2 linked regions of the Xenopus tropicalis genome follow. The protein of the gene in region 2 interacts with the protein of the main gene of each other region in a pairwise test. Links are inferred from orthologs where the notes say so. Each region holds a gene or a part of one and is shown on either strand. Other genes may lie near its edges.

The links.
Region 1: the proteins of ankrd40 (region 2) and ahcy interact in binary tests that used the Homo sapiens proteins (3 or more experiments, as listed by UniProt). The two-hybrid records come from large-scale screens. The link is inferred for Xenopus tropicalis from reciprocal best matches to the Homo sapiens genes ANKRD40 and AHCY.

What each region holds. Positions count from the first base shown.
Region 1 is NC_030686.2:41,230,351-41,234,106, reverse strand, and holds the start of ahcy (adenosylhomocysteinase), read right to left. Parts: upstream 2,854-3,756; 5' UTR 2,832-2,853; coding exon 2,804-2,831; intron 1-2,803. UniProt on the Homo sapiens protein: Catalyzes the hydrolysis of S-adenosyl-L-homocysteine to form adenosine and homocysteine. Binds copper ions.
Region 2 is NC_030686.2:46,623,187-46,626,920, forward strand, and holds the start of ankrd40 (ankyrin repeat domain-containing protein 40), read left to right. Parts: upstream 1-895; 5' UTR 896-967; exon of another isoform or gene 968-1,200; 5' UTR 1,201-1,262; coding exon 1,263-1,369; intron 1,370-3,734.

The DNA.
Region 1 (3,756 bases), about 5.4 Mb from region 2:
CCTAACCCGCCCCATGAATAAACAGCCAGGGCACAAAATGCACACGTGCACAGGTGGGAGATACCATACCGCTTTGCTAAGCAGAAACCCTCTCAATAAAGAAGAAATAACTTATGAAGATTACAAATGAAATCCTTGGATTGTACAGGTATGGGATCCATTATCCGAAAACTCGTTATCCAAAAAGTTACAAATTATGGCCATCTCCCATAGACTCCATTATAAGAAAATAATTATTATTTTTAAAAATGATTCCCTTTTCTCTGTAATAATAAAACAGTACATGTACTTGATCCCAACTAAGATATAATTACCCCTTATTGGGGGCAGAACAGCCCTATTGGGTTTATTTAATGGTTAAATGATTCCCTTTTCTCTGTAATAATAAAACAGTACCTGTACTTGATCCCAACTAAGATATAATTACCCCTTATTGGGGGCAGAACAGCCCTATTGGGTTTATTTAATGGTTAAATGATTCCCTTTTCTCTGTAATAATAAAACAGTACCTGTACTTGATCCCAACTAAGATATAATTACCCCTTATTGGGGGCAGAACAGCCCTATTGGGTTTATTTAATGGTTAAATGATTCCCTTTTCTCTGTAATAATAAAACAGTATCTGTACTTGATCCCAACTAAGATATAATTACCCCTTATTGGGGGCAGAACAGTCCTATTGGGGTTATTTAATGGTTAAATGATTCCCTTTTCTCTGTAATAATAAAACAGTACCTGTACTTGATCCCAACTAAGATATAATTATCCCTTATTGGGGGCAGAACAGCCCTATTGGGTTTATTTCATGGTTAAATTATTTTTAACAAACTTAAGTTATGGAGAACCAAATTACGGAAAAATCCCTTATCCGGAAAACCCCAGGTCCCGAGCATTCTGGATAACAGATCCCATACCTGTACTATCTAGTCTCTAAGTTGGTAAAGTAGACATGTCAAAAACCAAAACCATTGTGATCAACTCCCAGTTCAATGGGTGGCAGATTGTTAACATGTCTGTGTAGGGCTTATGTCAGGGAGGGAGGGAGGGAGGTAGGTTTGTGGCTGATTTAATAGGAAGAGGGGGGACAATATACTACCCGCATCATAGGAAACAATGGAACCCCTTTCTGGCCAGTTACAAGTAGCAGCATCAGCATTAAAGCCATAACCATGGGTCCCCAGATGTTGCAGAACTACTTGCATGACTGTACTGTACAATGTAAAAAAGTAAACATAGGGATACCTTGACCCTGAATGCTATGCTTATGGATTATGGGAGTTGTAGTTATGCTTTTGTTGTCCTTATCACTATCGCCTTGAACAGTTATGCTAAAATACATGTGATATGCAAGAGCAGCTTGTAGAATTCCCATGTCTCTATCAGGATTTCCCAGCCCTGACTTAACATCAGGTAAAAACTGCTGGAGGGCAGCCATTTTTCTTTTTAGCTCCTCCTTCCATCAGAATACAGATCCTATTTAAGGAGAACTTACGCAATACAATTTGAAGATTTCTAGTGCATGATGGGGGGGGGGGTCTGTAAGTTTGGGGGTGATGGCCCCAAAGCTTTCATCAGAAAACAGACTTCTAATCCTTCATTAAAGTGTATTAGAGATTTCATTCTAACTCAGCACTTCCAAATAAGTGTATAAGAGTGTTTATTATAGAAGCAGCATTACGTACACACCACAAATGTACATTCACAGATTTTATATCAATTAAGGTTTATGCTGCACCTCCAAAACCTGACCAACAGTCACTGCCCCCCTATACAGAAGAGATGTTACATGCTGCAATATCTTCCGCCTGCTCTATGGAACTCTGCAAATCTCCTGTTACAACATGTGGCAGCTTACGGAAGCAGCCATGGAGCACTGACAGCTGGAATTTGTAGTTCCGCCAACCGCTCCACAGCAGCACGGCACTCCCCTCCCTGAACTACAACTCCCAGCAGCCTGGAGTTTGCTGATTTGGGCAAAAGAACTGCCTGCAATTAGAATGAGGCTGAGCAAAGCCATGCTGAGATTATGAGATCCGTGGCCCCGGGGCACTCGCAGTGCTGCAGATCGACACATGTACAGGGGACAGTTATATAAAGCAATTAGTGTGTGTGCAGGAACATTAGGATTTACTGGGTATAAATGACATTTATTAAGGTTTTACTGTCATTAGAACACACAGTGAAGAAGCAATGCCATTTCTAATTTAATGAGCAAAAGCTGCCAAAATACACAGATGATAGATGCAGTACACATGTATTATAACACAATTACAAATGCCCCCCATAGTTGTCAGCTATATAGGAGGGTTGAATGGCATGAAATAATATTACCTATGTACTAACAATTAGCACCACAGTGCCAGCTATTTACACACCTTTTGGCCCAGGGTTATTAATAATAATAATAATAATAATAATAATAATAATAATAGGGTTAAACCAAGGCAACTGATCTGCCCTCTCTGTGCACCAATCAGACCCTGTGCCAGGCATAATGACATAACACCTACCCCCAATCATCACAGCTAGGGGCAACATCTGACAGCTGCCCCATTAACACCAACTAAGCTGTGTATGGCCAATAAATACCCCCTTTTATACCCCTCAGATATAGAAAATTATTATTATTATGGCTAGGCAAGATATAATGCCTCCCCCCCCCCCCATTGGTCCATGCTTTGGCCATGCAGGGGCAATTACAGCCAGGCTGGGCACTGATTCATCTAAAAACAACCCAGCAGCACCCAGCCCCCCTACATCAAGTTGCAGCAAGACGCCCCCCGCGAAGATTTTCCCTCCTTACCGACTTTGTAGGACAGTTTGTCAGACATGGTGAAGAGGAGGGAGATCTCACGGTAAGAGCCAGGAGAAGAAGAGTGGGCGGGCTGCTGCGTCCCCTTTAAGAATAACCCGCTCTGCACCTTATAGGGCAGTAAAGAGGCGGGGCGCAGTGCGCCTGACTCGTATCAGCGGCTTCCCCGCCGCTTGACAGCTAAGCAGAGTAGCCAATCACAAACAAAGGGGGCGTGTTTAGCGAATGAATGGCGTCTCTTTCCTTCATCATGCAATTGGCCTCAGTAAAGTGAACTTTGGCAGCGGATGACGCAATGTAGCGTGTGGGCAAAGGTGCCCGGAGATCTGCTGCTCTGCTGATAATTAATCATTATTAACGGAGCGTTATACCGAGCTGAGGGCATTCTGGGTACAGAGCGTTCAGGGATAAATGCAGTTCCAACTTTATGGCTTGTTAGTGGTGTTATCCTTAGTTATATAACCAGGGGGCGCCATTAATAAACTTGGTTTAGTCTGAAGCCTTACACTATGGGTGAAGACACATGGAGCTACTAGTAGCAGCTACTTGTCGTGGCTACTAAAATAGACAATGCTGATCATTTACTGAAAATGGTCTCTGTGTGTTTTAGCAGAGGTAATTCTCAGTATTGTCTATGGCAGGGGATTTTCTGGAGTTTAGTAGCCCTGAAAAAGTAGCTGCTGCTAGTATCTCTGTGTGTCTTCCCCCTAATGGGACAGGTGGTGTTTTGTCACCTGCTGACACCCCGGAATCTATCACTACTTGTAATGTGATTTAATGGAACTTTCCCTGGTTGATTCATATGCAGGGTCGGACTGGGCCGCGGGGAAAAATCCCGGTGGCCCAGTCCGACCCTTTCCGGCGCTCCCCCTGCCCAATTGTTCCTCCCTGACATGTTAATTTTATACGCGCTTGGGGAGGGCGTCTGGTAGGGGCCCTGCGGG
Region 2 (3,734 bases):
GCCTGAGCAGCACCAGCACCCACAACAACAAAAAAAAAATGTGCAGGAAGAAGCTGTGAAGACCCAAAGACAACAGTGACAGAAGGAGCCAAGGAAACCCGAAGGAAGCCAAAAAGACCTGAAGACGAGCAGGACACTTAAAGACACAGCGGGACATTTCAGTAAGTATCTGGGACAGCGGGACGGTGTGCAAAAATGGGACATCTGGGGGTGTGGCCATATAGTGGGCGCGGCAAAATATTTTTTCCCTCTTTTTCGTTTTCAAATGTTGGGAGGTATGGCCTAGGGCCCAACGATTGGGGGATGCCAGGCAGGAGCCTCTCCTGCCTACCCCATGTCATTGCCCCATTGCCCCAGCCGCTTGTCATTACGCGGTGGGGGCAATGATCCATCGCATCGCACCCCGAGGTTGCCTAGGGCGCCTGGTCGCCTCGGCCCGCCCCTGAACAGGACCCCAAAACTCCCAGAAATGTGTTCAAACTTTAAATAATCTGCCAAATTTAGTCAAATGTGAGTGGTGTTTAGGGGGTGTGGCTGCAAAAAAATGGCCATGGTCAAAAAATCATTTATTTTTGTCCCTCTTTCCCTTTTCAAAATGTTGGGAGGTGAGATACTGAGTCAGTCTCAAACTGAGGGGGGGGAGTGATTGCTTAGACCTATAGCTTCAAGGAACCTTCATTATAATAATCAACAAAATGAAGAATCGCTATAAAAAATACATCTAAACACTAGTATTTATTATTGAAGCCAGTGGCGCAATATTATGCCCCAGCAAGAGACACATTCCGGGCCTGTGTATTCGTGCGTAACCCGGAACCAAAGTGCCGCGCCTGCGGTGTCCCACGGATTCCTGTCCCCCAGCAGAGTGTTCCGGAGACATGCCTCCATCCGGGAGGGCGGATTATCTCTATTTTTACGTTAAATCGGAAGAGTGGGATCGTGATCTTGGGACCTTTACAGTGTGATGGTTGGTGTGTGAGTGGGACTGAGCCGTACGTACCCTGTGCGTTACACAGCTATTATGTTGCTTTGGGCCCGGGGGTAGGGCTACACTGGCACCACTTCCCTGCCCGCTCCGGGCTCTCTCATTATCACACTGCCCCAATTATAGATTCTTTTCTACTCGTTTGATTCGCAGAAGAATCACAAAGCTGCCTTTTTATTTTGCATAAAATCTGATATATATTTCTATTACTGCAGCCAGATGAAGATGTTACTAGAGTAAAACCGAGGTCCCATTTTTATTTTTGGAACCCACCTACATGGAAGAAGGATTGAGGGAGGCTGCTGCTTTGGGGGATTTGGAAGAGGTGCAGAAGCTGCTGAGATGTGGGGCCAATGTTAATTCACAGAATGAAATCAATGGCTGGTAAGTGGCACCCCCAACCCCCATCTTGTTGTTTATATGGGGGTGGGGAATTGGTTCTGGAAGTGTAAGTTCTCCCTGCAGGGTAGCATGGCTCCAGTAGATGGGTATTCAGGTAGGCACAGTGGGACAAATATAGGGTCCTGTTAGTACTTGGGCACTCCTAGGCAGTTTGGGTGATGGGTGTTATTATGATATATACATATATATATATATATATATACATACACATACATACAAGAACAAATGGAGCACACCCTATACAAGATCAAAAGCCCTGAGTGCTGGCAAAAATAAATCCGATGTTTCGAGCACTAACGGTGCTCTTCCTCAGGGTTCGTGCTCGAAACGTCAGATCTTTTTCAATAAATACTTTATTTATATATAAATATATATATTTATATACAAAAAAGTTCTCACGACCGCACCTCACTCCAAAATGCTAATAAATAGCTGCCCATGTGCACGGAATACAAAATAAAACACAGCCAGCACCAAGGGTCTTATAGTTCAAAACAATCTCAAGTGTATTGCATGTATAACCAATAATACATGCAATACACTTGAGATTGTTTGAACTATAAGACCCTTGGTGCTGGCTGTGCTATATAAAAGAGCAATAAAGGCCAGCACTCACGGGACTTTTAAGAAAATATTGTGTCAGCAAAAATAAATGGTATACAAAAATTGTCTACATGGTTTTTTATATATATATATATATATATATATAACAAAATAAATATAGGGGGTCTGATAGCTATCTGACTAAGGGTCCCCATACACGGTAAGATCGCCAAGCGAGCGGATCTTCCCCCGATATCCCCACCTACAGGTCGGCGATATCGGGGAGCTCGAAGTTAAAAAAATAAAAATAAAAAATAGGCGATTATATAGGCGGCAATGTATCAGTCGGTTCGGGGACCGCATCAACGAGCCGATGCGGCCCCCGATCCGACTGAATCTTTTAACCTGGCCGATCGATAGCTGGCCAATTTCAGGCCAGATATCGGTCGGCCAGTCTGCTCGTTTCTGCCCCTACACGGGCAGATAAGCTGCCGAGTCGGCCCAAGGGACCCATATCGGCAGCTATTATCGGCCCGTGTATGGGGGCCTTTAAGCATCAAATGGACCTTTTCTACTCTCATCACAGATTTCTGCTTCAACCAAGCCAGAACCCTGCAGAGGTATGGAGGAGAAAATTAACAAAGCAACCATCCAGGATTTTGCTTTAAAGGGGTTGTTAACCTTCAAAATAATTTTTATAATAACATAAAGGGTGCTGTTCTGAGACAATTTGCAATTGGTCTTCATTTTCTAATATTTGTGTTTTTTTAATTGCTTTTTGTTCAGCAGCCCTTCAGCTGGGAATTTCAGCAACTATCTAGTTGCTAGGGTCCAATATAACTTAGCAACCAAGCAGTGGTTTGACAGAAAGACAGAAATATGAATAGGAGAGGGGCTGAATAGAAAAATAAGTCATAAAACGTAACGATAACAATAAAACTGGAGCCTCACAGAGCAATAGTTTTTTGGCCCCCATTTAAAATCTGGAAAGCTTAAAAAATATATAAAAAATGTAGACCAATTGTAAGAATAGGCCATTCTATAACATACTAAAAGTTAACCTGAAGGTGATCCACCCATTTAATTAAAGTTATCCATTATTAAGTATATATCTCTGTCCTTGTTCCTTATCCCTCTGCGCCATTGCTCTAAATCATAGCTGATTATATGCAGTGGGCAAATTATATATGATATTGCAGGTTTAAGGGCTGGATTACATTAAAAAGATAATATACAGTAAGGTCTGTGGAGCTTTTAGGCAGCCTGGGAGCCATAAAAATCCACTCAGAGGCCTCCCGTTGGATGGCCCTGCTCTAAATGATAATGTACCATTCGGGTAAAGGGTAACCGATCCGGTATTGTCCACTGGCTCTGACTTGCAGCATGGCTCCAGTGCTTTTGGCATGCACATATATGGGTTTAATAGCCAGACTCCCAGATGGATATTTTCATATCTCTTTATGGCAGTAGTGTTTTGGGGGGACCCATTCTCTTTGGGCCTGATGAAGGAAACATGGAAACATTGCTGCAATAAATGTAGGAGCAGGGACGGCACAGAGTTACTCTTTCTGTAAATTTTTAGGGATCGGCACTCCACTAAGGCTCAACTTTGTAGCTGCCTTTCCACCCTGCCTCCCTGCACTCACCCCAGTTATCAAGTGGCCCCAGTGGCTTCTACCCCAACTCCCAGAGTAGCATTGCCCCTCCCAGTATCCCTCAGGCTCTTGACTGGCATCCCACCCACACTCCTTGATGATGTCACTCACAGCTAAAGACACCCAGGGCGGCTTTCAGTATAGTACTG